7 linked regions of the Oryzias latipes genome follow. The protein of the gene in region 2 interacts with the protein of the main gene of each other region in a pairwise test. Links are inferred from orthologs where the notes say so. Each region holds a gene or a part of one and is shown on either strand. Other genes may lie near its edges. The genes, in order: fhl3, lnx1, memo1, hsbp1, mtmr9, cep72 and blvra.

Region 1 (4,228 bases), on a different chromosome or scaffold from region 2:
GCCCTGGCTCAGGGGATAGAGTTTCAGACATTTACCAACAAAGCATCCACGGAGGAAGCCTTGCGACCCTCACAATAACACTACAGCACCTGGCAATCCCCTCACAGGAAATCTGAGGTCACTTCCCCCCTTTTTAAGGGAATGCAGACACACTACAACAGCCAGCCACGCGCCCCCACATCCTACCAAGGAGGGAACTGACTACCATAACAACCAATTTAAACATGCTGAAGTTCCAGTGCTACACTTTCATACACACACATATATATATATATATATATATATATGTATATATATATATATATATACACACAAAATGACAAAACCAATATTATTGTTCTCATAGCTGTTTGAGGAGGTTCAATCCAGGGCACTGCATTATGGTTTTATTGTCATAGCACCTTTTTTTTTTAAATTCCAAAATATCTTTATTGTGATTTTCAAAGCTTTATATGTTATAGCACCTTTAATCATTTTTTTACAGAAAAAACCCCAAAAAGATTAGAACCAAAACCTAATACATTACGGACTTATTTAACTTCACCAAAGCCTTGTGATGGAATTATCGGGCCGCATCCCGCCTTTGCCCTGAACTTTTGACACTCCACAAGGATAAGCAGGTACTGATAATAGACAGTGCCACCAAAATTATAACTAATTATTACTGAGACCTCAATAAGTAAGCTTTTCAAACAGGCACCTGATTATTGGGTTGTACTTCACATTTTGAGTGAAGGTGGAGAGTAAAACTATGTAGAAGTTGAAGACAAACGAAACTCTGTGATGTAGGACTGTTGATCAGACACCCACACGTGGGATTTTAAGGCACTGAGCAATTACACGAGCACAAATTGTGCCAATGGAGGAACACACAGCTGCACAATGTCACAAGAGGACTACATCAACGCAAATTCCAATTCTGCTCTCAAAAACCACCTGCAAACACTTGACCGCCAACTCCTCCATCATTACCATTGGCCAGGTTTCAAATGGTGCCAACACATAAAGGCTGCTAAAACCAGTTCAAATTATTTGGTTGCAGTCCTGCTGCAGTTTTGGAACTGGCCAGAGTCCAAAAACCACGCAGAGCTAACCTTTGGAAAACACTGGGACCTCTGAAGAATGTGACCATGGTCAAAGAAATGGAGGCGGTGGGAGGAAAAAAGCAAACAATGACATTATGCAGCTCTGTATGCTCTGTCAAGGCAAACTTCCCAGATGCTAAATGGAACCGAATAAGAGACATGTAGTTAAAGGGTGTTTCCTCTGCTGGTTATCCTTACTGACCATGTAAGAAAAAAACCTGTAGGTGGCAAGAGCACCCCAGCACTCCTCAGACCAAAAACTTTTAGAAGAGGCATACTACAGCACCATGTTGACTTCTATGTCCAGGCTGCAGCTGTATCTTCTCTTGCATCTACTCACAGTTGGATCAGGAGATTTTCTTTTTGTCTACCACGCTGGAGACAAACCAGCAGATTAAAATGTATGTTCTATACTGCAGAAAAAGGATTGCTTATGTTTAAGAGGAGGACATTGACATTATTTCTTTTTATTCATGCTGCAGTTTGTTAGTTGGGTCAAGATCATGAAGAATCAATGCAATTTTTCTCTGTCTGGAAATCAAGATTAAGTTGTTTGTGAAAGACCTTTTAATCTCCCAAAAATTCTGGGATTCTCTTGCAACCGATGTCAGAACAACCCCCAGTTCTTTCTTTGCTGCCTGTTTCAGCAGACTATATTCAATCAGAGCTTAAGGAAGAGCTTTTTGTGAACCAAAGGCATCGATTTAAAACAATCTCTTCCTCTATCTGTTATACAGACTGTTAAACTTTTTACAGTCAAGGCTGACCACCTCACCCTCCCACTGCACCCACATGACCCAGCAGGTGAGCCAAACTGTCATCACAATGACACGTACCATGAGGTGCTGCACGACTCCAGACGCTACAGCATAGACACACCCATTGCACACTCTTACTGCTATTTGCCACTTTCCCCTTTTGCAGAAAAAAAGAGGCAAGTTTCGCCTGTGGGACTTAGTCCTGTGAAGGCTTCACTTGGAGCTCAGCTTGAACTTCTCTGACAAAACAGTTGCTCCTGAATCCTTCATATGCACAGTTCAGAGGGTCACACAAGCTAATATGGTCTGTTTCTTCATCGGAAGGATGTTATTTATATTTCCTCCGCCTTGTACACTCTACGAGTGTACAGAGGGACACAACTGAATTACTGAATGAGAGGGAAGGGAAAAAGTTAAAGACAGCAACAGCAAATTTAGACAATGTCTAAACACGCAACCAGATACTTCTACTTCAGGAATTGTAGATATTTGGTTGAGCCTACTCTCAAAACCCTTTCCCCCCCAACTATACTTTCATTCAGTCATAAAGGACTAAGTAATGGACTTGAAAGAACCCAGATTATCTTATATATTCATACACACCTGTGTTTGATTTAGGATCAACAGGTTACTCAATGAAAATGATGGAGCCAAAATGTCTCTTCTTACCAGTCAGACTGATTGAAGTGTGGAGGCACCTTTCCAAGCTGCTGTGGTGGTGATCCAGCCGCCTTCCTCCCGTCAGCACACGGCCGCTCAGGTCAGCACACGGCCGCTCAGGTCAGCACAGGGATCAGCTCACAGAAAAAGCTCAGGAGTGTCGCTCTCCGGCTCTGAAACGTTCTGTTTTATCTGCTTGTCATTAGCTCGTGCTGGTTTGCGGCGCCTTCCATTCGTGAAACCCGGGTTCGACTCCGGTCTGCTCCCTGTTCCCTTCTCTACCTCTGCCGGTTCCAAGCCCGGTTTGAGAAGGTTGCGTCAGGAAGGGCATCCGGCGTAAAACATTGCCAAATTTACCATGCGACTTGTTCGCTGTGGCGACCCCTGATGGGAGAAGCCGAAAGTGGAAGCAAAGCATGAAAACTCTGCAGCACAGAGGGGTGCAGCTTGCCGGCTACTTTTGTCCTACTACTGAGGAAGTTGCTGGTGAGTCACAAGATCCCGCCCCCCCAAAAAAGGCATTCCTCCCTCCCTCTTTCCAGCGACTTCAAACAAGAGTGGAAAAGGCCCATGCAGGCAAGAGGGGAGATTCTTGCAAGGCTCTTTTGTCTCTTCAACATTGCATTGCAGTGGGTTATAATAGAATTTTGTTTGTTTTGAGTTTAGAGCAGAATATGTGAAGCCTGCATGTCATGAGATGTTTGAGTGTGTGGACCACAGGTGCTGGAGGCTTCTGAAGGATTTCTTTAAAAATAGCAAAACCATCAATGAAATTACATCACAGGATTATATGTATTATTATTATGGTTGTTGTTTTGAAAGGGAGGGACATAAACAATCCTTCCAAAAATGACCACGAAGGGTTAAAGATTGATCTAATTGTTAAATTACATTCCTCTTTTTTTTACAGTGTTTTAAGTTCAAATGATTCATTTGTGTTAAGACAAACGAATAAGTCGACTTATTCAGGATTAAGCTGACCTATGCTCTGACAAAGTGAATGCTCTTTACTTCAGTGTTAATCATTAAAAACACGAATCATTATTAATTTAGATTTTTTTAATAGAATTTAATGACATTTTACAAAGAAAATGGAATTAACTATTCAAACTCATGCATTGCCTTTCCTTTTAAGATATTTTCTCTCTTTTTTAAGACAAAAAAGACAAAAAACGCTTTCTCTTTACTGTTGATGTAAGACTCCTTTTTTAAATAAAAGTGGGCTACCACTTTTGTTTGTTTTAAAAGACATGTTTTCTTAATCAAAACTGGTTTTGGAAATAAATTGATGAAATAAAGCAACATTTAATTGATTCGTATTTAATCACAAATCAATTACAATCTATTTGGTTCAGTAGTTGTTGCATTAATACACAACCCCTTTAGTTCTACATTATTGACATATGTACTACGTTATTTATAGAAATTATTTATCTAAATCTTTACTAACATCAAGTTAATCTAGCTCTTTTTTTATAACAATTTTTAGGTCTTCAATCAAAAAACAGAGATTATGAATTAGAGGACTGATGCAAGAACAAACTAAACAAAAAGAGACTGAAATTCACAAGCATTGCCCACCAGCTTTTTAATTTTACCTTTACATTTTGCTTGCCGCAGGAGAAGTAAATAGCATAAATAGATATATTCGTTATGTCCCATAGCACTTTACAATGGCAAATCCCATTCACCCATGCACACAGATGGTGTCAGAGCTACCATGCA
Region 2 (3,500 bases):
ATGGAAATGTTGAAATGGTTTTTTCAGTGAGACTTTTCCACATCCATGCACAGAGTGCAGGCGTCTTTGAGGACATGGCCCATCACCTCCACATATAACACTCTCTTAGTACAGGAGAGCAGCCCGATCCTTGTGGGACCCAGCCTCTGAGATCCACAACCCTTGTAGTGAAAACCTACAGGGGCAGAGGTGGAAAGGGGGGACAGTATCAATTGCTAAGATCAGAAATATACTTTCTAAGAGTGATACTGAAAAGCTCATCCATGCATTTGTTACGTCTGGACTGGATTACTGTAACTCCTTGTTAGCAGCATGTCCTAAGAGTTTTGGTTATCTGAAGACAAAATTTTACGTTGGCTTTTTGAAAATGAAATTTGTTTGGCAAATTTTGTGTCAAGGGCATGGACAATAAGAATGGACACTTTGTATTCTGATAGACTCTGATTAGGGGGGTTATTGGATTTTTGTGATGAGCATGTATCTTTGTGTATTATGTATTTTGTCTTTCAGTGTCATATAAGCCTGTGTGGGCTGGGCACATTAGTGCATGACACTTAAATAAATCAAATCAATCAATCAAAAAAAATAAACAATCCTTAAGAAGTCTCCAGCTTGTTCAGAACGCAGCAGCTAGATTGTTAGCTGGAACTAGCAGAAGAGATCACATCACTCCTGTGTTAGTTTCACTCCATTGGCTCCCAGTTGATTCCAGAATCAAGTTCAAGATCCTCCTGTTAACCTATAAGGCCTTACATGGAATGGCCCCGTCCTATATTAAGGACCTCATAGTCCCTTACCATCCAATGAGAACACTTCGCTCACTAAATGCAGGACTGCTTGTGGTTCCTAGAATTAGTAAAAGTACGGTTGGAGGTAGAGCGTTTAGCCACCAAGCCCCTGTCTTATGGAATAAACTCCCAGCTCATGGAAGAGAGGCCGACTCAGTTTCTACATTCAAAGTTAGACTTAAAACATTCCTCTTTGGACAGGATTATTATCGGACAATAGGCTGCTAGAAGTTGAAGCTGGGGTAACTATGGTGCATTGGGGTTCTGCCCTCTTTTCTCATCTACTTCTACCCTTCCTCTCTTCTCCATTCTTGATCATTATTCATCATTTAGTTCTCCATGCCTCTGTTTGGTGCAGTGCGATTCATGTATTGTCCCTCTTTCCCTCTCCCCTCCTGGGGAGTGGGAGTGCTTCCAGATTCCAGGTGGCTCATCCGTGCTCCTGTTCCTGACCGTGTACCTCGTCTCTGCTCCTGCTTCTACACCTGGCTGTGGATCCTGCCTCTGGCTCGCCCCTGACTGTCCCCCCAACTCCATCTGTATGAAGCTTGTCTGCTGGACTTTAAATGTGTAGTTATAGAGCTAGATAAGTTAATTCTTCTTTATGAGTTCTGGTAAATCACCTGTCCGTCCTGGGAGAGGATCCCTCCTTCATGTGGGCGCCCTTGAGGTTTCTTCGTTTTTTCCGGAATCCGTTTTTTTTAGGAGTTTTTCCTTACTGCGAATGGGGGTCAGTTTAGCTTAGTCAGTTGGTTAGTTCAATTTAGTATTTTCCTATTGAACTCTATGTATTTATGATCCTTTTGAGTTTATGTTTCACTTTTTCAATTACCGATACGAAGCCCATTGAGACGACTGTTTTTGTGAATTTCGGCTATACAAATAAAATTGAATTGAATTGAATTGAATGAGAGAAAACGTCTCTTTTTTTGTGCTAAAGGAGATTTAGGAAGCTGGTGTTTTGATGTTCAACCCCGGCGCTTGTGTGTTTGGTGAGATGTGTGGATTATCCCAACAGTGTTTGGGCTGGAAGAGTGCTGCTGAGTATTAATGAAAGCAGAGAAACCCCAGCTCTGTGTTTTATTGCCATACAGGCAGGACAGTTTGGTCTGCCTAGTTAAGAGCCTGGTGGGAGGAGCGACAGTCCTCATTGGGATTGGAGCTGCGGGTTGATGATGATGCGTAGAGAAGGCTGGGAAACTCAAAGTGAATGCTTACTGTCAGTCATTATTAACTTGATAAGAATCAAAGAGCAGAAGAAAAGCTTGCTTGGGTTTTCTGGTGGTGGTTTACCTGCCTACACCAACCTACCTGTTTTTGATGTGGTCTTCCAGTTGTCCTCGGGCCAATTTTTCAGTGCAATGCTCTGTGAAAGGGCAGGTTATCATCAGCTTGTCCAGCAGCTTGTGCACCAGCAGGCTGGGCTTCCTGCAGCTCTGCAGCATGAGGGGGTCACGGCACACAGGGCAGAAATCGCTTTCCAGCAGGAAGCTGGTCAGGCACTCCTGGCAGTAGGTGTGTCCACAGGGCGTGTCCAGAGGCCGGATGAGCGGCTGCAGGCAGATCTGGCAGACAAGATCGTCATCCACCTCGTCCTGATACAAGTACTCATGGTTCTCCTCCAGCTTGTGACTGTGGCCACATGATGCACATAAATCAGGAGGCGGAGATAACAGTCCAAGGTTAGATGGGTAGAGAGGCTCAGCGGATGCCTCAACCATTGCGGTGGCGCCCACCGGCTGAGTGCTCTCCTCTGGTATGCTCATTGTAGGCCAGATTCAGGATAAACCTTGTAAAGAATTCATCTGCAGAGAGAGCTGGGACAAACAGAAAAACAAACAGTGTAAGACAACAACAAGATGTGCATGTTTCTGCTGGCACTCAAAAGGCCCCTTCAATGAATAAGTTAGTAAAATATTTTAGGATATTTATACATGTGTGCTCTGCTGTTTTGGGAAAAGTAAACAAGAATATGCAAACTTTCAAATTTTTGTTTTCTCCAATTAGAAAGAAGCTGTTGGTCAATGATTTATTAAGTTTAGTTTCACTCAGCAGAATAAATGCTAAACTTTCTAATACCTTCCCAGCCGTTAACAACAAAAAAGGAATTGCAAGAAAACAATGTTCACACATGAAGATTATTTTTTAACAACATTCCTTAATAAGAAATTTAAACATTGCAATAACAAAAACATAGTGGCAAAAGGTTTCAAACAAATGGGAAAGACATTTGGGAGATTTATTTTAGCAATGATTGTTGTTTTTGCACATCAAAATGATACTATGGGGACATTTTTGTTATATATATATACACACACACACACACACACACACACACACACACACATATATATATATATATATATATATATATATATATATATATATATATATATATATATATATATATATATATATATATATATATATATATATACAGTCAGGACCATAAATATTTTGACAGAGACACATTTTGACAGAGAGAATTTTAAATAAAACAACTCAGATGTCATTAAAGTGCAGACTTTCAGCTTTTATTCCATGGGTTGAACAAAAAGGTTGCATAAAAATGTGAAAAACTAAAGCATTTTTAACACAATCCCTTCATTTCAGGGGCTTGTAAGTAATTGGACAATTGACTTCCATGCTATTGCATGGGCAAGTGAGGGCAATTCCCTTATGTCATTATGAGTGAAGCAGATAAAAGGCCTG
Region 3 (4,174 bases), on a different chromosome or scaffold from region 2:
CTACATGAGCACATGCTCCGTGGAGGACGAATGCAATGGAGTCTGCAAAAACACGGAAAGATGAAGAATTGGTGCACAAAGCTACGCCACTTACGTAATAGAGGGATCAACCTGCTTGTAGGCATGTGCTGCACAAGCACCACAGTAGGTGTAGCCAGCATGACTGCAGACAAACACGTGTCAGTATAGAATGAAAACATAGAAGGAAGTCGAGAGCGTTTTATGATGCTCTTACGGCGCTATGATGGCTCTGGCGGGTCTGATGGTCGACTGCGCTTGGGACAGCCAGCCTTCTAACTGTGCATTCAGCTGGGATCCTGCAAACATTTAACAACAAGCATGCAAATTCATTATTTACGGTCTCTAGAATAAGTAGTAATTGTTGAGGGTAAACGAGAAAATACAATGCATTTCTGATTAACGACTGAATACCAGTACGTTTACATCCAAAGTATAGAGTTGTGCTAGACTTAAGAAGAATTATTGTTTTATTACATCACACAAGGCTTAGCATAAGCCAAGTGAAAGGTTTTCCTGATTGTGACTTGAACCGCAACAAATTTTTTTTTTTTTTTTAGATTTTTTGTAAAATCAAATCATATTTTGAACCAAAACAAAACTGTGACTAAAAAAAAAAAAAAATCAAAGATTGAACCAAATCAAGGGGGAAGTAAATAGTTGGATCCATAGTTGAAACCATTAATAAAAAGCTATTAATCCATTTATATATACAATTTAATCATTATATTCCGCAGACAAAAGATCCCTCCAAATCAATAACTAATCATAACACAATGAATTAGAATTTTGCATTCTCGTTCAGTAAATTAGATGTAAACTACTTCTCTTTTGTATGTAAAAAAGTAACTGCACTAAAATAATATTTACTGATGTTAATAATTGTTGGGTCATGTCAATAACATACGCATGTAGTCAAATAACAGGTATTCAGTCGTGACTACAGTTATGCTGTGTGACAATTTAACCACGCTTTTCATTTTAACGTGATTTATATATTTACAGTCCCACTCCGATCATCATTTTCAAAGTGTTCCCAGTGGTCTATTAATTAGGATTATGGCGTTTTTACCCAACATCCTGTGTTGTTTTCACAGCGGTAGGAGTTCATTAGAAATTCGCCTCTGATTTGTGGGCGGGACCGTTGCCGTGGAGGACCTCCCATCCCCATTGCTGAGAGCTCTCTGTTTACACGTTCTCCCGCTAGCTAGCAGCCCCTCACGCACATGACCTAACATTACCGGTCCAACAAAAGGGAAGCAGTGTCTCGCCCAGAGTACTTTGTCACAAATATTTTGTTTTTCAAACGACATTTTTTGGCCTGATCCTGATTCATATAATGATTTGAAGAAATAAAACAATCAGAAATGCAATTTCGAGCTTGATTTTCTACTTATATGTCCTCTATCATTTAAAAAAGATCACAAGAACACGTAACAATAAAAAATGATTTTCATCGGAGCGGGTCTTTAAGTTGGAAAAAGGCTTTTATTATGTGAAGCATTTTGTGTTGCCTCTGTCTGAAAGTGCTTTATAAATAAAGTTTGATTTGAAGCATGCGCTTACAATAAGATGTTTTTTTTTAAGTCGCAATAAACTGTTGTGCTTCGTCTTTGACGGAGCAGCAAACTGGTTTTTGGAAAAGGAAATGGGCTGACATGAGGGGTAAAAAACAGGGCTTCAAAAAATGGGGGAAGGGATGAAGCAGCAACAACCAAAACAATCATATTTTAGTTTTGTTTTGGTTTTTGTCAGTGTCAAGTGTTTTGCTTTGCAAGAACATGAACTTTTACACAAAACAACTGGAGTGGAATAAACTCAAAACTACTCCAGTGGAGTGAATAAAAGTCGTTTAGCAAGCTCTGTGGACGGTTTTTTTGGTGTAGCAAAACTGTTAGCATGCTAGGCCAGGAAGGTTTTAGCTTCATAGCTAGCTAACTAAAGGTCTTCTAATCGAGAATTACGTTCGTTTTTATAGTGACATGTCAGCCTTAGAGTTCACCTAGCGACATGGATTCAGTTAGCGAATATTTTGGGAGAATTGAGGTGAAGATTGTCGGATAAATGCTAACCGGGCGACTTTTTTTTTAAAAACCATCTGCTGGATCATGGATTAGTGTTCACCACACTGCGGACTATTGTCATCTTTGCTCTAGATCACCTATTAATTCGTAAATGTTGTAGACTGGGAAAGCCATAAAAGCGACAATATTAATGCTTCACAAATCGTGTCAAGGAAAGAAATGTACATGATGATCAGATAGCATTATGCTAACGCGGACCGTGCTGTTTTGACAGTTACCCGAAGCGGAGTACCAGCTCCCGGCGTGACTTGCTTCTCTGCACACCACTCGATTCGACATCTTGGTTCCCAAGCTGCCTATCTTGGTTCGCTGAAGATGTTTATAAGAAAATAAAAATAATAAAACTAAACCGATACGTTCTGCTCAGTTGTCCCAGAGAGGGCAAAAACGCTCCTGCTAGCTAACTTGCCTACTAAAAAGACAAAGGGCAGTTTCACTGTAAGGCAGTGTAGCTTGCTAGCTAACGAGCTTAATGTACTGGCAGCCGGCCCGTTTAGATGCCGGTTTTTTAGGTTAGGTCAACAACTTAACTGTCTCGCTGTTTTTATCAGCAAATATGAAAAGATATAAATCAAAAATAGATTGTTGTCCAACCCAGACCAACACGGACCAAATGTATTAAAGCTAGACTGTTGTCACTGCCAGAATCAGAAGATTACTGAACGCTGTGAAGAACCAGGTAAAAGAAAACTGTAATCAAAGTGACGTCCTGCGTTTTGATTGGTGGTTTCACTGCAGGAGGCGGAGCCAGTCCCGGGAGGGTTGCCATACAATTTCTTGAACGAGAAGAAAAATACATTTATATTTATTACAATATTTAAATATACATATATATTAATTTTATTTATTAAAAAATAATTTATCTATCACATTTTATTTATTTATTACAGAAACATTTTTTTCATTACAGATTTCTTAGACAAAAAACACTACTCATTACAAATTTGTACTTATTACATATGTTTTAATAAAAAAAATATTACTCACTTTTTGATCATTACAAAAACATTTAAAAGATAAAAAACAACACTGAATTTATATCTACCATGATGTTTTTTTTGTTAAACAAAAAAACTACAACAATAAGTTTCTTTACTTTTAGAAAGAAAATGTTCACATTATTCAAATTACGTATTATTTAATTTTGCCTTTAACTGCTTTTTTCCCCACATACTCTTTAAATCAATTAACTTTTCTTCCCTATCTGTAACTTAAAATACAGACTATTAAAGCTCTACTTCATCTAAGCTGTCTTTAACATTTTTATTCTTACTTTTATTTGGAGGTTGTTCAACATTTTTTCAGACCCTGAACAGAAATGTTTTAGTGTAATGTTAATTCAAACATTTTTATAGCAATACTTGTCAAATATAATAAAAAAAATTGTTAAATTCAATTTTATTGGTTTATTATGAGCATTAAAATTAAAGGTATAAGATAATAAAAATCACAAAACATGTCCAACCTGTTTCAGATATAAAGTCATACATTGATTGGAAAATGAAAAATATTAACAAAGATGAAAGAAAATGATGCCATCTTCTTAACAGGTTAAATTCCCTTAATTATAAATGGACTTAATTGCAATAATTTTTGCAGTACACAAAATAAATATTTGATCAAATAAATTTAATGATTGTCAAATAGTTTTATTTGTTGTCTTTCAATGGAGTTAAAATTAAACCGGCAATATTCCGTATCTTTTTTTGGTTGTATATTGGCTGTAGGGTGTTTATATTTAAAGTCGCCTTGAACTTCAAAAATGACATTTTGACATTTCCAAAAATTCTAGGATTTCTAGAAGGGAATTTGTGTGTTATCAATCAAATAGTTAAAAAGAGAATAAAGTTGCTGCAATCTTACGCCGCTCCAGCAGGGGGCGGTGTGGTCAGCGGCAGTGCCTTGAAAACACTTCTCAGAACGAGGGGGCGGAGCTTTCTCCCAGACAGGCGGAAGCTAGCGATGTTTCGGTTTTGTTGTTACCGGATTCGAGTTACAAAAACAAACAGTACCGTGTAAAGTTGAGCTTTTGGGTTAGATGCGGCCCTGTTAGCGCAAACCAACTGCGTTTG
Region 4 (4,065 bases), on a different chromosome or scaffold from region 2:
ACCTCCAGCTCGGTCTGATGGTCGTCAGCGATCCTCAGAAACGTCTGAGTGGGCAGAACAGCCCCGTCACTCAAACCCTTATTTTACTGCGAATCCAGCTCGTACACACACCCAAAAACAGAAATGTTTTAATAGATTTTTATTGTAAAGAACACATTTTGTTAAGTTTCTGGTTTAGGCTGCAGTGTTGAAATGTCCAGATTCCATCCGTTAACTTTGATTCTGGGCTCTTAGGATCTGTGGTCACTTGATCTCATTCAGACAACAGATCCTCCAGTTTACTGATCTGACGTTTCACCATGTGACCGACCTGATTTCTATAGAGATCAGCCAATTGTTCCAAGACTTCAGAATTCATAGAAATGCTGCTTGTACCAAAGGAAAGTGGGGTTTGGTGCTAAACCAGAGATGAGAAATGCTTCTTCTGCAACGATTTGGTGAAGTTTGGCTTGAAAAACGTTCAGGACGATAAACTCAAGGTTTCTCTTCACCCCATTGTATGTTTAAGACTTTTCTTCTGCAGTTGTAATACTCAGTTGTTTGTGGTTGAACGCTTTTCTGTTCTTGTTTTTAATCAGGTGTAAGAACATGGAGGTGCCTATAGAAAAAATCTACAACAAAACCCAACGGGAAAAGTTCGCCTGGGCCATCGACATGACGGAGGACGACTTCGAGTTCTGAAACTGAACTTCCACAGACGTATAAACTCACACCAAGTGGCAGCTCAGGGACCTTTTGCTTTATCCCATGTAGAGTAAATGAATATTGTATTGAGGGGATGTTTATGAAGTGCTGAGGTTCTACTACTGCAGTTCAATAATCAAGCTGCACTTTAATGGATGTTTACTGCTACTTTTGGTTTGAAGACGGTCTGTTACATTTTGTTTGCATACACTTGAATAAAGGTTCCTACCATGCGGTAAAATAAGGGATGTTTTAATCATTCAATTTGGCAAAATCTTAGTTATACACTCGTTAAGTGGCACATTTCCAATTCTGCTCATTTCACGTCAGAATCCAACAAATTCATGAACAACAAAGAGCATTGAACCTGCAGATCGGATGAATTCAGTAGTTATGAAAGGTCTGTGGCATCAGACGACTCTGCCTCATAAGAGAAAATGTAGAAACTCTTAGCACCGTGGTCTATTTATCAGCACCTGGTCAAAAAGGAGAAACTGCTCCGTACATCGCTTTAATAGAAAATCAGAAATGGAATGCATTCTGCATCTCGTTGCCAACAGTGCTGCGCTGCGAGCTCCGGGTGTTCGCGGTTCATCGTGTTGGGATGAGGTTCTGCTGGCCCGTTACCAAGCACGGACCGGAGAGAAGAACCGACGCTGGCGGCTCGAACGTCCAGGTCAGGGCACCAAATACACAATTCTGAAGGGCAGGTCACACTAATTCAGATTACTACTACTCCACTTCTCACATCATGACATAACTGTAAACCGTTAAACCATTTTATATATATATATATTTAAAAAAAGCATTTCACACCAAATCAGAAGTCATCGGTAAAGAACTTTGACTTCACATCATTTCTGACCCTGTGGGACAGACAGAAAATAAAGCTGATTAGGAAATCTACCAGAACAAAGAAATTCTACAGGGGTAGACCGTTTTTCTTCACCTTCATGATGATCCTTGGCTCTCCTTCGGCTTCTCTGGTGTCGCCTCGGCCTCCTCCACACCAGCCTGGGTCATCAGGTCAGCAATGTTTTTCTCCAGGTCATCGATTCGTGTGCTCATCTCATCAAGTGGACACTGTTAAGGCAAATCTTTTTTTTTTCTAAGCAAACTGGAGTCCTGTAGAAAAAGACACCGGGACATTTGATGTAGAGTATGAGAAATGTAAAGACGACCATCAGAGCTCTGGCTTTCAAAAAAGGATATTCCTCCCGATGATCTGGTCTGACATTGTCTGGAACTTGTCTTGCATTTGCTGCAGGAGCGTCTGGACCTTTAGAAAAACAAAAGAAGGCCACAAACTTTAATCTGTCAAACCCAACAAGAAACAGTACAAGATCAAGCTGTGAGCGGCCCAAAAGCGCTTCCCGCCCTCTCAGTCCCCTCCTCACATACCCCACTCTGGACATAGCTGCATGTGAGAGAAAAACCACTAAAAAGGAGCTAAGACCTTCATCTTCCAGTCAACACACTAATCAACACCTAATGTTTCAGAAGAATCGAATACAGTCTGTGATTTAGTAGGTAGAGGTGCAACTTAGACCTTTAGTTTTGGTTCATTTCCATGGCAACACTATTGGTATCCACACCAACAGAAGTAACCTGGGTGTTGCGAGAACTGCTGATTATTATTATTACAATAAAAATGTAAATTCATATACTTGTTATTGAAAATGCTGATTAAAGAAGATTTATGTAAATTAAATTAGTCAGGATGAAGTGCTAATCAGCTAACAATGTCTTTTATATGGTGATAAACTAATAAATATTTAGTGAGATCGATCAGAATTTAGGTGTCAAGTGGTAAAACAAAGGGGGAAAAGGCAAAAAGGAATCAAACTTAATACTCCTTTAGATGCAACCTGCATTTGATTTGTTAGCAGTATAGTTAGCATTGCTAGCTACATCCATATAGCTAGTCCTAGCTAGCTTGACGGTCCAAACTCACCACGTTAGTAAGGTCCTGCACTGATTTGGGATCTGTTTCAGCCATGGTGTGAATAAAACTGTATGTCCGGACCTTCACGGCGGTTAAATTTAAGGCGCTTTATATTCGATTATTTAGCCTCAAGGTTCTGCTCGCCTGTACCACCCACGGGAGAGTCAGCTGTGCCACAACACGGCAAGTCTCGCGAGATTTGCTCATGGGCTGAGATCGGTGAATTTGCAGAACCCTTCGATACAAATAATGCTGTGGATTGACGACAAACATTAGGTTGTATGTATATTTATAAAATAATAACACATTTGAAAAATCAGTTGACGTTCTTATGTTTAGATGAAAAGAAAAACATGAAGCTGTAAGATTGAAGCGGAAATTCTAGACCTGTGTGTGTTTATGCGCAGCCGTGTGTGTGTGGGGATGCGCGCACACGTCTCTCCTCCTCCTCAGCGAGTTGGGATTTGAAAGTTGGAGCTGCGGGATAACTCGGCGGGTTTTCACGCCGAATTCACTGCGGGAGACGGCAAAGTTCTGTTGGACTGAAGGCGATCGGTGAGTAAAGCAGAAAACTGACGGTGCTGTTGTGCATCAGAAATGCGGCTGTTTGCGTAAAGTTCAGATTTACGCACGCGTGCAATAGGCTGAAACTTCACGGTTGCTTTAAACTCAGGCTTACCACGTGGTTTTTATGCATCATTCTTGAAGTTTTATTTTTTTTAACGAGACTGCAGCTGTATTGAGTTTGTCCCAAAGGAGCAGCAGCTCCGGCATGGATGTGTGTGGAAGTCCTGAGTGACATGAAGAAGCAGGCACTGCTGGCCCTACCCCGTGAAAATATGCTCCGCTTACATAACATTGAGTTTCCTCTTTTAAGAAGCTTCGGTACATTTCAGCTTCCATTGTTAGTGTTTACTTTCAACACATAAACAAAAGGAAATAGCAGAAGCCTCACAGTACTGAATAAATTGTGCAAAGGTTCCCTTAGAACGGGTTTTAACTTCCTCCAGGCTTGTGCCTAGTCTAACTGATTATAACCTGTAACTTTTTTTATCAGAAGCAAACAATTACTGAGCTTTATATGTAACTTAGACGTGACTTTTGCTCTTCAAACTCCTGCCATAATGCTGAGGTTTGGTGTTTAATGTCTTGCTGCTGTTCTTGTCTTTTCAAAATTAAGCGCTGCTTAAGTTACAGCAGTGGTGACGTCTTAGCTGAGTTTGGCACGATTTTCTGAATGAAATCTTTGTCAAGTTATACTTTAAAAAAATGTTCCCACCTCCTTTGTAACCTCCCTGTATTTTCTTGGCATGCGCACCTCATGCTTTTGTAGGCACAACACAAGGGAGAAAGTCCCTGGGTACGCTGTATGGAGCTAAAGCTTTAAGGGTGTTTTGAAAGCAGGCAGGTCATCTGTGTAACTCAACTATCGGTGT
Region 5 (2,150 bases), on a different chromosome or scaffold from region 2:
TCCAGGACACAGATTGTGGGATTTCACAGATTCACCACACACTATCAGTTCCCATCAGCCACTGGAGACCTGATCCTCCACGGGGCCTTTGGAGGTAAATAGTCATTTTCAAGTGAGTGCCTCATCAGCGCGAGCTCACGCGCCGTGGCGATTCTCAGATGTCAGCTTCATTTAGAATTTAGGGGTCAGGATAAAGTGCTGGGCATGAGACTCCCAACAAAGAAAGCTTGGACCCATTCACCTCTAAATGCACACAGCTCTTCTCAAGCCCAACTTCTCTCTGTCAATGTCTAATAAAAAAAAAAAAAAAACATTTTTGAACTTTAAAACCCCAAAAAACAAACAAAAAATAAACAAAAATATATTAGAGACTTCATTGGCATCACTAGTTTGATCACATTTTATTTTGTGGCTTTATCTAAGCCATTCAAATTGAACAATTTCACATTTTTTCAAATGAAATTTTTAGCAAAACTTTCTTGACATAATCTTTCTGAAACATTGACCTCAAGGGTTTTACCAGCCAAGTGTAAGAATGTGCTACAGGTCTAAGATTAGCCTGCATATGGTCACTGACGGAGGACAGGTTGTAAAATGTTATACTGTGTTCAGTGTCAACTTTCACTGAGGACACACCTACAGCACTGACCACATAGGGAGCAGGAAGGCTGATGGGATTCCAAAAGCCATCGTGCAAAATAAAATAAAAAAACAAATAGTCCAGGTGAAACTTCTCATTCATTTTTGGTCTAAATTTGTACAAATCAAACAAAAATTGACTTTATTCTTGGTGCCTGAGAATAAAACAGCAAAAATACCTAAGTTCTGCAGCAATATATTTTTGAAAATGAATTTTGTCTTTACAAAAAGTGACGCTTCAAACTGATTTATGTAAAACATTGTAAAGCACCATTTGATGCCTTATTTTGTATAGTGAAGAGAAAAAAAGGTATATTTGCCACATTTTGCAACCAAAAACCAATGTTAATACAGAAAAATTAAAGTGTTTTCATCCAAGACAGCTTAGAAAGACTTTCAAGCCTTTAATTTACTGAAATAAAGGCGCCCCCTTCTGGTAAGATTTTAGGGAGCCAGAAAAGAAAGAAAACGGGAAAAACGACATAAATTAGAAAAAGTGTTTGTGTAAATATTACTGTGAATTTGTATTTTTAGTGATATTAAGGACACCTTCAGCCAAGCATCGATGTAAAGTGTTACATGTCAGTTAAGGCTGATTTTAGTTAACCTGAAAACGTAAAGATTAAAGCCGTTTTAAAGGCAAAAAAACAGATTTTTTTGGGCGACATTTGCATAAACTCATATCAACCAAATGATCGTGTTTACATCAGATATATTTGAGACCCATATTAGAATAAAAGCAAGTATGGTTGAGTCAATATATTGTAAAAGAAATGTTTTGTGGCGTCAATTTTGGAAATAAAACTCAAAATTGGACGCAAGACATTTTTTGCATTTTTTTGGAGTGCAGCTTACCCTCCCACAGCAGAAGGCTCTGCGGGGCCACTGACGGCCAGATTACAAGACTGTTGGCTTCATAGAGGGGGTTGGTCAGGTGCTCCAGCTCCTGAGGCCGATTCATCCACGACCAAAGAGATACAGTCTTCTCAGGCAGAAAGAGCCTAGCTCTGATAAAAAGGGGACAAAAACCAAATGTCATTTACTTCAGATCCTTCCACCAAAAGTAAAGCTCAGATCAAGGAGACATAATGAAATTTACCATCAGTTTTATCCATCTTACCTCTCGGCTGCACAGTTGCAGAGAAAAGTACCGAACTGAGAGGCGTAGGCATGTTCAAACAGAAGCACTAGGAAGCTCTCATTGAACTCGAAGGAGCAGGGAAACTGTCGGAGGATCTGCCACACGCAGTCCAGGAAGAGCAGGAAGACGGGGGCCTCGTGGCGAGGCTTGCTGTTGGAGTACGCAGACTGAGCACAGCGCTGCTGGAACGGGTGACCTGCCTGGGAGAGATGCAATCAAAAAGACGAATGCTAAAAATGGAATTTGCAAAAATGATCACTTTCTGTCCTGTACTTTCAGAGACGTTTAAAGTTCAAACCTGGATCCACTCCCGCTCCACCAGTCTTTGGAAGCCTTTGATGGTCCTGCAGCTCGGATCAAGAATAATCTG
Region 6 (4,221 bases), on a different chromosome or scaffold from region 2:
TTTATGATTTAGAGTATAAATCAGTCGGAGAGCTGAACTGAATGTTAACCCTTTTTTTCCTTCCAGCTTGTTGTTTCAGGCTGCTGCTCCCGTCTGCCGTGTTGATGCTAGAGTAGGTGAGTCTTGCAGGGTGTAAGATGGGGTTAGAGGACTCAGACAGAGTCAAACCGGGTTGCAGTGGACTGGCAGGACGGATGTTGATCAATGAGGTGCTACGACACTGGCTTTGATCTGAAAAAGTCATGTACATTCAGAGTTCCAAGGAAGTGAGGAATGTGAACTTTGGCAAAATTCCACAATAAATAGCAGTTGTTAAATACACAATATAAATAAATATATATATATATATATATATATATATATATATATATATATATATATATATATATATATATATATATATATATATATATATATATATATATATATATATATATATATATATATATATATATATATATATATATATATATATATATATATAACCAGGGTTTGGAGTAAAATGGCCCTTAGCTTCGTGTCTGATTTGTTTAAAGGACAGCTTCTGGTTTGGAAGTCCTCTGTCTGCACTGTGTTTCTCTACAAAAGGACCGAAGGACACTTTAGGCCTTTCAGCTACTTTAGATGAGGTAGAGTTTTTCATTGGAGGTGTCTCCTTCATCTGTAGCCCTCTGGATACAACAACATCTGTAAATTCACAGAAAGGCACAAATATGTTTTCATCTTTTAGTGTCAGACATTTTTATGGAGTTGACATCTAGCTCTCCCTGGTGGACATTTATGTTTCTGCTTAAACAATTGAAAATATTATAGTTAGTCAACAATGAGGCAAACACCACCAAAAATCTCTTTTTATTGCCATGAACTGTTTCCTTAAATGTTAGGGAAAAATATGATGCATTATGAATTGGTTTACAAAATCTCTTATTCAGACCAACTTAAATACATTTTAGCTGCTTTAGCAACTGCTGCAATCCATCTGCTTACTAGTGCTCTGATATACACACAGATAATTAAATCATTAAATAAATACCCAAAAACACACTTACCATTGATATTGGGTGAATATCTGAGGATGGATTTAGTAGATTCCTACAAGCAAAGGGTGCCGTCATTCATGCAAGCATAGGGTGACTATTTTTTTTTAATCAGACATGGAGAAAAAGAAAGTCACCTGTTTTGGAGTTGAACTCTTCTTCTCTGTGAAATTTTGTAATATTTCCTCCTTGGGTTCTAGAATAAGGTTTCAACGTGAAGAAAGAACGTCAGCAGGTTTGGTGTGATTAAAAATTACCTTTAAGGGTCCTTACCTTCTCCTTTCCTGTAAACGGAGTCGCTGACTCTTTTAGATTGGTCTCCAAGGTCAGCCTCGACTCTGTTTAACACAATATCCTGACTTTCTGCTGAGAGTGACAGCCTCTTGGTCAAACGGTCGACCAAAGCCAGACGAAACCTGCTGCTTCTGACAGCAACAGGCACAGAACAGAGAAATAACTAATTAAAAGGTTGAAATATACATTAAAAACCACATATTTGATGCTTCCAGGCTTCAATAACAAGCTAGTTTAAGAAAGCAGGTTTGATGGAAATTAACGAATAGATTTATTACAAAAGGATGAAACAAGATGAAAAAAACCTTGAGATAAAAGTGTGTGTATTGCAGCTTTATAATATACCGCTGGATTTCCATCATCTGAGCTCCATACAGTTTCTGAATTTAGACCAGATTGGTGTTTAAAGCCTGCATTAAGAAGGTTTTGTGCATTAAACTGATTTTGTGCTCGGCGTACCTTTGATCTTCAGCCAGATTCAGAGAGCATCTCTTCTGCTGAGGAGGAAGATCAGAGGAGAACTGCATGATGGCAACTTTGCGTTCCGTCTCTCTGACCGAGCAGCTGTCTGCAAACCCAAAAGCTCATTACGATGTCGGGAACTTGACAGAAAACAGTCACAAAAACAGGCCCAGATGACTCCAGCTTACCAAGCTTTCGCAAGCTGGGCAAGGCGTGCACGATATAAGCCCAGTAGTGTGGGCAGTTTTTGGTGAGAGGGTTGAGCCTGAGGTCCAGCTCTCTTAAAACAGGAAGCTGGAACAGAGTTTTCACCTCTTCAAGAGATGGTATGCAGTTATGATAAAGAATCAACCTCTCCAGTTTTTTTAAATGCTGCAGCCCCTAAAGAAAGAACAGGAACCAGATTTGTAAGCATTCATCCAACAATGGAAATAATAGTCACATGAAATAAAATAAAAAAAATGACTGTGATTTGAAATCAGTTTAATATAAATTCTGAAGAGACTTTTTTTTATAGTATAAAGTATTTTCTTAATATAAGAAAAATTAAAAATATCAAACCTCCACAGAAACCAGGGCGTTGTAGGAAAGATCCAGAGACTTCAGGCGAATGAAGTTATTCAGAGCGTTCCCTAGATGTCCAATCTTCTCCTCTAACGTTCCTGGGAGGCTCAGTGACCGGACATCACCTGCGCATCAAACACACAACAATGAATGACCAAAAGATGACGGTTCATCATAAAATAGCTTTGAATAGCTAATCTGCTTTCAGTCAGACAGAAAAAATGTTTTACGCGGGGTTTTTGTTTTTCCAATGCACAGGTGAATGAAACTCTTACCGAGACACGGATGTTTTAGTTGTAATCTGTCGCGTATCCATTGCTCTGAGATTGTTGTTAGACACTCCGTCGCCATACTTTTCAAACTTTGCTGCCTTCAAGTGCTGTCGTGAAAAAACGACTTCAATGAAAGAAACAAAAATAACACAGTCAGTGTGCAACGGAGTAAAGTTTTAAATTTATGAGGAAAAAATTCAGTTAAATACTCTGTCGCATGAGTATGTCACACACTAACACAAAACCCTCTTTAAAATGGTAACTTTTTAGTAGTTAACAGCGACCTAAAAATAACGATTTACTCGTTTACTCGACAGAACCTAAAATGTTTTTTTTAAACAAAGAATTATATTTCCAATAAAACAAGAATAAATAACGTTTAACAAAAAGTGTTAACCGATCTTTGCTAGTTTGATCATTATTAATATGGTTGACAACGTCTCAGAATTTACAAGGGACTTTGAACGCCTCCTTTGGAGCATGCGCAGTGCTCTGAAGACATTCTGTCACGTGTGAACACAAACATTGTTCTGCTCCTCCTTGCCCCAAAGTTTAGTCTTTCTGTTCAGTCCAGTTATAAAAAGGGGCAGCGTCAGTAGTTTCATTTGAACTTTAAGTAAAAATATTGTCACTTTAGTTCCGGTGTGTTTGCAGGTTTGTGTTCCGGCGCGCTTTCCTGAATGGCGTCAACAGAGTGGATGGCATGTTGTAGTAACATCATTCTGTCCACCACAGCTTTATACTTTTCACGCAAACTCTTCAAGGTTCGTCTCTTATTTTATATTTAAAACTTGTAGAATGCTTTTTGATAAACAGAGTATACTTCAATAAAGATGAGGCTTTTTTTTATAATACACCAGCTACTAAAAAGTAATCTTTTATAAAATTGATTATGCTTGCCTTCGTCAACATCAGTGTGTTTATGTTTTCCCTTTAAGAGTATGGTCACAAATTCTCAATATATTAAACAGACTATAATCTCATGTTCTGCAGGATCACAGGGGCCCCTCAATAGGCCTCTTCCTGCTTGGTCTCTCTGCCACGCTTTGGGTCCTCCTGCCTTCAAGCTCACACCTGGCCTCTCTCAAAAAGCAAGCCACTTGGGCTGGGGAGGTGCTGGCACCAGTGCTGGTTGCTTTTGAATTCCTGTGGCTCAGCGAGGATCACGGCACCGCATGGACCCTCCTGATTGGCTCCTGTCTGCTACTGGGACTCTCAGACTGGCTGTCGGCTGAAACTCTAACTGTGTTGACTCGCTGCCTGGGTCTGTCGTCTCTGTCCTGCTGCCTGATGGTGTGTCTGTTTGCTGGTAATGTTTTGGGTGCTGTAGGAGGTGTAGCCCTCAGTTTGCCATTACTCATGGAGCAGCAGGTAGAAACCACTGTTGCTGCTCCACTTGTGTCTCCAGCTGCGACAGAAGGACTCGTGAAGTGGCTTTTAAACGCTTTGCTGTCAGTGGGCTGCTGGGCGTCCACACGAGCTCTGGGACAGTTTCTGTTGGACATTAGTGATCGATTTAACATTTGAACCGGAGAAACTCCATGTTTTTGCACAGAGCTAAGAACTTAACAGGAAAAATGTCTAACATTTAT
Region 7 (4,222 bases), on a different chromosome or scaffold from region 2:
TTGTGGAAATCAAACAATGTTGACTGTTCCCTTTCTATATTTTAACTTACCAAAATAAAAGCACTATGAATTTGCTTTGGTAAATGGAACTTATACATGAGACGCAATTGCAGCGCTTAACATTGTGATCATTTAATAAACTGAATTTGACCATTTTATTGCAGTGGATGACATATTGAAATTCAGGTTGAGTTTTTTCAAAGCCATATTTAAAGAAAAAAAGAAAATATGTTTTGGTAAAATTTTGGGATACGTATCGTATCGCCAGACTCTTGCCAATACACAGCCCTAATTTGAGGTGGGACAGGTTTCAGACCTAGATTTGACAAGTAACAACTAGAATTCTGCTGCTTTTCCTGTTCTGGAGGATGTCACACAACTAAACTGTGTGTTTAAACTGGATTTATTCTGCCTTCTGTTATGTCGGCATAAGCAGGCTGCATACAAATGCACAGAATTAATTTGTGAATATTTTTTTCTGCCTAATACTTTGTTAGCAAAAATAATCCTATTTTTCATCTTCCTGTGATAATGGAGAAACTGGTCAGTTTACTCATCATCACACAGCGGCTGGACACCCCCCTGACAGACTGTACCTGGGCTGCCTGATGGTCCACACGGTTGTATCTGTCAGTCAGATGGATGTTATGAACTCGTAAGGGCGGGGCTCCAAGGCTCTCCATGGCAACAGGACACGCCTTCAGCTGTCGCACAGCGAGTTGATGGTATTCACTCCCAGCAAAGTTTTCTGACGAGATAGCAGAAAAGAGAGCATGCGCACGTACGTGTGCATGAGTCACAGAGACATGAAGGGGCTGCAGCAGAGAGACAGACCAAGACATTTGCGGGTTCCACTCCTAAACCAGAGCCACTTTCAGACCGTAAAGCGGAACCAGGAGTTTCTGTTTTGAACAGACTATTGCTTCAACGCGTGCACGCACACATGCACTCACTCTGCATCAGGTAGTACATGGTGCCAACGCCCCCACCCGTCAGGACGGTAGTGAAGATGGTGAGCCTCTGCAGATGGTGGATGGGGACCCTCATGGTGCAGCTCTTCCTGCACAAAAAAGCAAAGACAGATGAAACGGAGCCACGATGGCGGCTGAGCTGCAGACACCAACCTGAGAGACATGATGGAGGGAAAATCATCAGAGGATGCTGCCAGAAAAATGACTTATAGAGAGGAACTCTCTAGGTCTACAGCTCTGGAGTCCTGTCCTGGTTTCTAATTTGTTGAAACTTTATTTAAACAGGAACAGTGTACACAAATCCCAGAGAAAACAGGAACATTGTTCTGATGTTTTTTTTTTCTCCTGCAGGAGGAAACATTTCCAAAAATCCGAAAATAAAGATAAAGCATTCACTGTTGAAAATATTGGGATGTAAAAAAATGCTTCTAAAAAAAAAATCACCGACTACGAGGCACCGACTGGGCGGGGCCCTTTTACGTCATCGGGAATGTCCTGTCAGCTGGTCGAAATGGCCTCTCCATGAATGCTGTGGCGGACAAATGCGCTCAGGTGAGTTCAGTGTCACTCTTACCTGAACACATGCGGCTCTACCGGCGCGTGCTCTTCCCTGACCCCTCCCCCTCGTTTGCGCGGTTCTCCGTGAGCGTGCGCCGCTCTGCTGCAGGTTAGATCCGGAATCCGTCCGTAACACGTGTTCACGTGGGTTTAAATAGGGACGGTGGCCTTTGTCTTCTTTCTTCTATGCTTATCGGGGGTTTGTGCCGCACAAAGGCTGTTTACTGCCCCCTGCTGGACTCTGGACGCGCTGCACTAGATGAAATATAGAGGAAAATGGAACAGTCTTCTTTACAATTCAGTTTTTCCTGGACATGCAGGATAACTTCATACTGCTAATAAAAGCTGGCTTTCTTTCTTCGGTCTATATTCTGCACCATTTTAATGGAAATAAACGGGTTTTATCACCACTCTAATCAAAGTGTTTGACTGCGATCCGGGTAACCTTTGAGCACCTGTGGTTTACTAAATGTACATCATGTTTACGTGTTTGCGTGGACAAGAATGCCGCCCCATACACAGCACGGATATGGAACATTTTTCATTGTTCAGGCTGTTGTGTTGTTGTTGCTTCGAAACCTTTGAGAAGCTGCTGAAAAGAGGAAAAGTAGCTTATGCACAGAGCTGCACCAGACTGCATGTGCAGGAGACAACACCACCATGCAGACAGGGATGTCAGTGTTTCAGACTTTGCTAAGAAAAGTGGTAGGAGTTGTGTCTTAGAGTTAAATACATGTCCTCGAATGGATGGAAGAGCGGGACTACTGAAGTTGGATAAGCTCCATCGGGGAGGCCGTTAGCAAAGAGAGATGATTTTTAGAGAGAATACATTACGGAGAAACATTTAAATGAAGCACACCTGTTAACAGATACATATTAATAAAAACAGGATGATGCTTCTAGATATATTTGGACAGGACTGGTGATCTCTGACATCACCCATAGGGCTCTGAGGGCAAAAAACCCACGAGGAATACTAACCTCTCAACCGTCTCTTCGACTGCTGTTTTGGGAGTGAAAGCAGTCATTGTTGGTTCAATTCCCAGCTCTTCCAGTAATGTAGTATTGAAGTGATGTTGGGCAGAACACTACAGTAAATCTGTGAGTTAGGTTTAGTTTTTCCAACTGCATTTTTCCATCTGCTCGTGATTCAATTATTTGGAAAAAGCCACTTTAATCTTTATATATGTTCATTCAGAATGTTCTAAAAGAACATGTTAACACCCAAAATACAATTCTCATCGGAGTGGGTTTTAACAATAACCACTGTCCTAAAAGTTTATTTTTCATTCTCATGTATGAGAAAATACACGTGAATTGGGGGGGGGGGGGGGGGGGGGATTCGGACCCATGGCCTTGTTTTGGTTTAATAATGGTTCCATTTAAGCAGTGTGATGCTGCTTCCTGTGGACTAGGGGGTATGAATCTTCGGACACACAAGGTGTATATTTACATAAACCCATTTTGGATTAGAGGCTAAACTTCATCTATTCTCTTTATGTTTGTATACATTTTTTGTTGGACTGGACAGAAAAGAAGAGGAGAGAAGAAGAAAGTGGGATGTTAGAGAGGGGTGGGTTAAGGGTACTAAAGAGAGGGGAGGAAAAGGGGGGTAAAGGAAGTTGGAGGATTACAGAAGTGGGGGGGGGGGGGGGTAGAATTACAAAGCAAGAAAATGCTAGAAATTTAGCCTCATCACTTTTCAGGTGCAGATGTTAGTCAAAAGGGGCGGGGCCTGTCCACACACTCAAATAATACAAGCATACCTGTTGGCTCCCAAAAAACACAAACATGTCAACACGTACGTCCTCAACATGTACACAATACAGCTACAGCTCACACGCACATACTTATGCATACAAACCGACACATGCAAAGCATTTCCTTCTGTCACGCATACTATTTGTGCAAAGGTGAGCTGACACCTGGCCCCCCGACACCCTCGCTGGAAAGCACATGGAGGAAATCCACCCCTGATTTTATTTATTTATTTTTACAGTTACATAGTCATTATTCATTGTACGTGGGGGTCATGGGACAGACACGTAAATTACAGTGCTTTCAGTTGGCTCATTAAAAATTAAAGTTTCAATGAAGACCAAATGGTTGTTTTTGAACCTGAAACAGACCGACGTGTTCACATGCTCTGTTAGCAGAGCTGCCCTGTTTTTTTTTTAGAATTATGAGAGACTAAAGAGTCTTTCTCAAAGAACAGACGGAGCTGGGGAGGCCAGGTTCCTGCGTGCTCAGCTCTTGAGAGACAGAGCATCCTAACTCAGTCTCATCCCAAAACGAGGAGCATCTGCACAGGAGCCTCCTTATGTAAGAGGCAGTCCGCCCCCTAGCGGCGGACTCTGTCACTGCACCAGTGAAGATCGCGCGCGGGTCACGTCGGTACATCCGTACCGGCCGGCGTGCACGCGCCGAGCACCTCAGGCTGTGGGTTCACGCGCTCCTGAGGTGACTGCCAAGGAAGCAAGCGCGTGCGTGAGTTGTTTCTTTTTGGACATCCCCCCTCCCCTTCTTTCAACTTCCGGTTGTCACCAATTACTTAAGAGGTTACATCACGCGGGCGCGCGACACCAGGGTGGCAGTTAAAGGCGTTTTCGGCTTCAGCTGCATCAAAGCCAAGCCGAGCCGAACCGAGCAGCTGCTGCCGTGCACGTGCGCACGCTTCCCAAGTTCCAGGCTGT

The links.
Region 1: the proteins of lnx1 (region 2) and fhl3 interact in a two-hybrid assay, tested with the Homo sapiens proteins (2 studies listed by BioGRID and IntAct). The link is inferred for Oryzias latipes from reciprocal best matches to the Homo sapiens genes LNX1 and FHL3.
Region 3: the proteins of lnx1 (region 2) and memo1 interact in binary tests that used the Homo sapiens proteins (3 or more experiments, as listed by UniProt). The two-hybrid records come from large-scale screens. The link is inferred for Oryzias latipes from reciprocal best matches to the Homo sapiens genes LNX1 and MEMO1.
Region 4: the proteins of lnx1 (region 2) and hsbp1 interact in binary tests that used the Homo sapiens proteins (3 or more experiments, as listed by UniProt). The link is inferred for Oryzias latipes from reciprocal best matches to the Homo sapiens genes LNX1 and HSBP1.
Region 5: the proteins of lnx1 (region 2) and mtmr9 interact in binary tests that used the Homo sapiens proteins (3 or more experiments, as listed by UniProt). The link is inferred for Oryzias latipes from reciprocal best matches to the Homo sapiens genes LNX1 and MTMR9.
Region 6: the proteins of lnx1 (region 2) and cep72 interact in binary tests that used the Homo sapiens proteins (3 or more experiments, as listed by UniProt). The link is inferred for Oryzias latipes from reciprocal best matches to the Homo sapiens genes LNX1 and CEP72.
Region 7: the proteins of lnx1 (region 2) and blvra interact in a two-hybrid assay, tested with the Homo sapiens proteins (3 studies listed by BioGRID and IntAct). The link is inferred for Oryzias latipes from reciprocal best matches to the Homo sapiens genes LNX1 and BLVRA.

What each region holds. Positions count from the first base shown.
Region 1 is NC_019874.2:23,737,279-23,741,506, forward strand, and holds the start of fhl3 (four and a half LIM domains protein 3), read right to left. Parts: upstream 2,801-4,228; 5' UTR 2,513-2,800; intron 1-2,512. UniProt on the Homo sapiens protein: Recruited by SOX15 to FOXK1 promoters where it acts as a transcriptional coactivator of FOXK1.
Region 2 is NC_019862.2:726,583-730,082, reverse strand, and holds part of lnx1 (E3 ubiquitin-protein ligase LNX), read right to left. Parts: intron 2,606-3,500; 5' UTR 2,555-2,605; coding exon 2,100-2,554; intron 1-2,099.
Region 3 is NC_019873.2:27,908,076-27,912,249, forward strand, and holds the start of memo1 (protein MEMO1), read right to left. Parts: upstream 2,801-4,174; 5' UTR 2,382-2,800; coding exon 2,321-2,381; intron 318-2,320; coding exon 236-317; intron 164-235; coding exon 95-163; intron 1-94. UniProt on the Homo sapiens protein: May control cell migration by relaying extracellular chemotactic signals to the microtubule cytoskeleton. Mediator of ERBB2 signaling.
Region 4 is NC_019864.2:28,979,185-28,983,249, forward strand, and holds hsbp1 (heat shock factor-binding protein 1), read right to left. Parts: upstream 2,801-4,065; 5' UTR 2,684-2,800; coding exon 2,639-2,683; intron 1,964-2,638; coding exon 1,897-1,963; intron 1,761-1,896; coding exon 1,636-1,760; 3' UTR 1,634-1,635; intron 1,551-1,633; 3' UTR 682-1,550; coding exon of another isoform or gene 579-681; 3' UTR 125-578; downstream 1-124. Other genes in the region: DNA topoisomerase I, mitochondrial, read left to right, coding at 579-681. UniProt on the Homo sapiens protein: Negative regulator of the heat shock response. Negatively affects HSF1 DNA-binding activity. May have a role in the suppression of the activation of the stress response during the aging process.
Region 5 is NC_019882.2:13,972,578-13,974,727, forward strand, and holds part of mtmr9 (myotubularin-related protein 9), read right to left. Parts: coding exon 2,079-2,150; intron 1,981-2,078; coding exon 1,760-1,980; intron 1,647-1,759; coding exon 1,495-1,646; intron 1-1,494. UniProt on the Homo sapiens protein: Acts as an adapter for myotubularin-related phosphatases. Increases lipid phosphatase MTMR6 catalytic activity, specifically towards phosphatidylinositol 3,5-bisphosphate and MTMR6 binding affinity for phosphorylated phosphatidylinositols.
Region 6 is NC_019874.2:16,684,699-16,688,919, forward strand, and holds the start of cep72 (centrosomal protein of 72 kDa), read right to left. Parts: upstream 2,801-4,221; 5' UTR 2,709-2,800; coding exon 2,633-2,708; intron 2,483-2,632; coding exon 2,355-2,482; intron 2,175-2,354; coding exon 1,982-2,174; intron 1,900-1,981; coding exon 1,791-1,899; intron 1,463-1,790; coding exon 1,311-1,462; intron 1,234-1,310; coding exon 1,175-1,233; intron 1,093-1,174; coding exon 1,050-1,092; intron 688-1,049; coding exon 487-687; intron 232-486; coding exon 50-231; intron 1-49. Other genes in the region: uncharacterized protein LOC101162471, read left to right, coding at 3,310-3,393, 3,623-4,156. UniProt on the Homo sapiens protein: Involved in the recruitment of key centrosomal proteins to the centrosome.
Region 7 is NC_019875.2:5,296,403-5,300,624, reverse strand, and holds the start of blvra (biliverdin reductase A), read left to right. Parts: upstream 1-1,422; 5' UTR 1,423-1,497; coding exon 1,498-1,523; intron 1,524-1,545; exon of another isoform or gene 1,546-1,702; intron 1,703-3,880; exon of another isoform or gene 3,881-4,222. Other genes in the region: cytochrome c oxidase assembly factor 1 homolog, read right to left, coding at 597-748, 954-1,047. UniProt on the Homo sapiens protein: Reduces the gamma-methene bridge of the open tetrapyrrole, biliverdin IXalpha, to bilirubin with the concomitant oxidation of a NADH or NADPH cofactor. Does not reduce bilirubin IXbeta.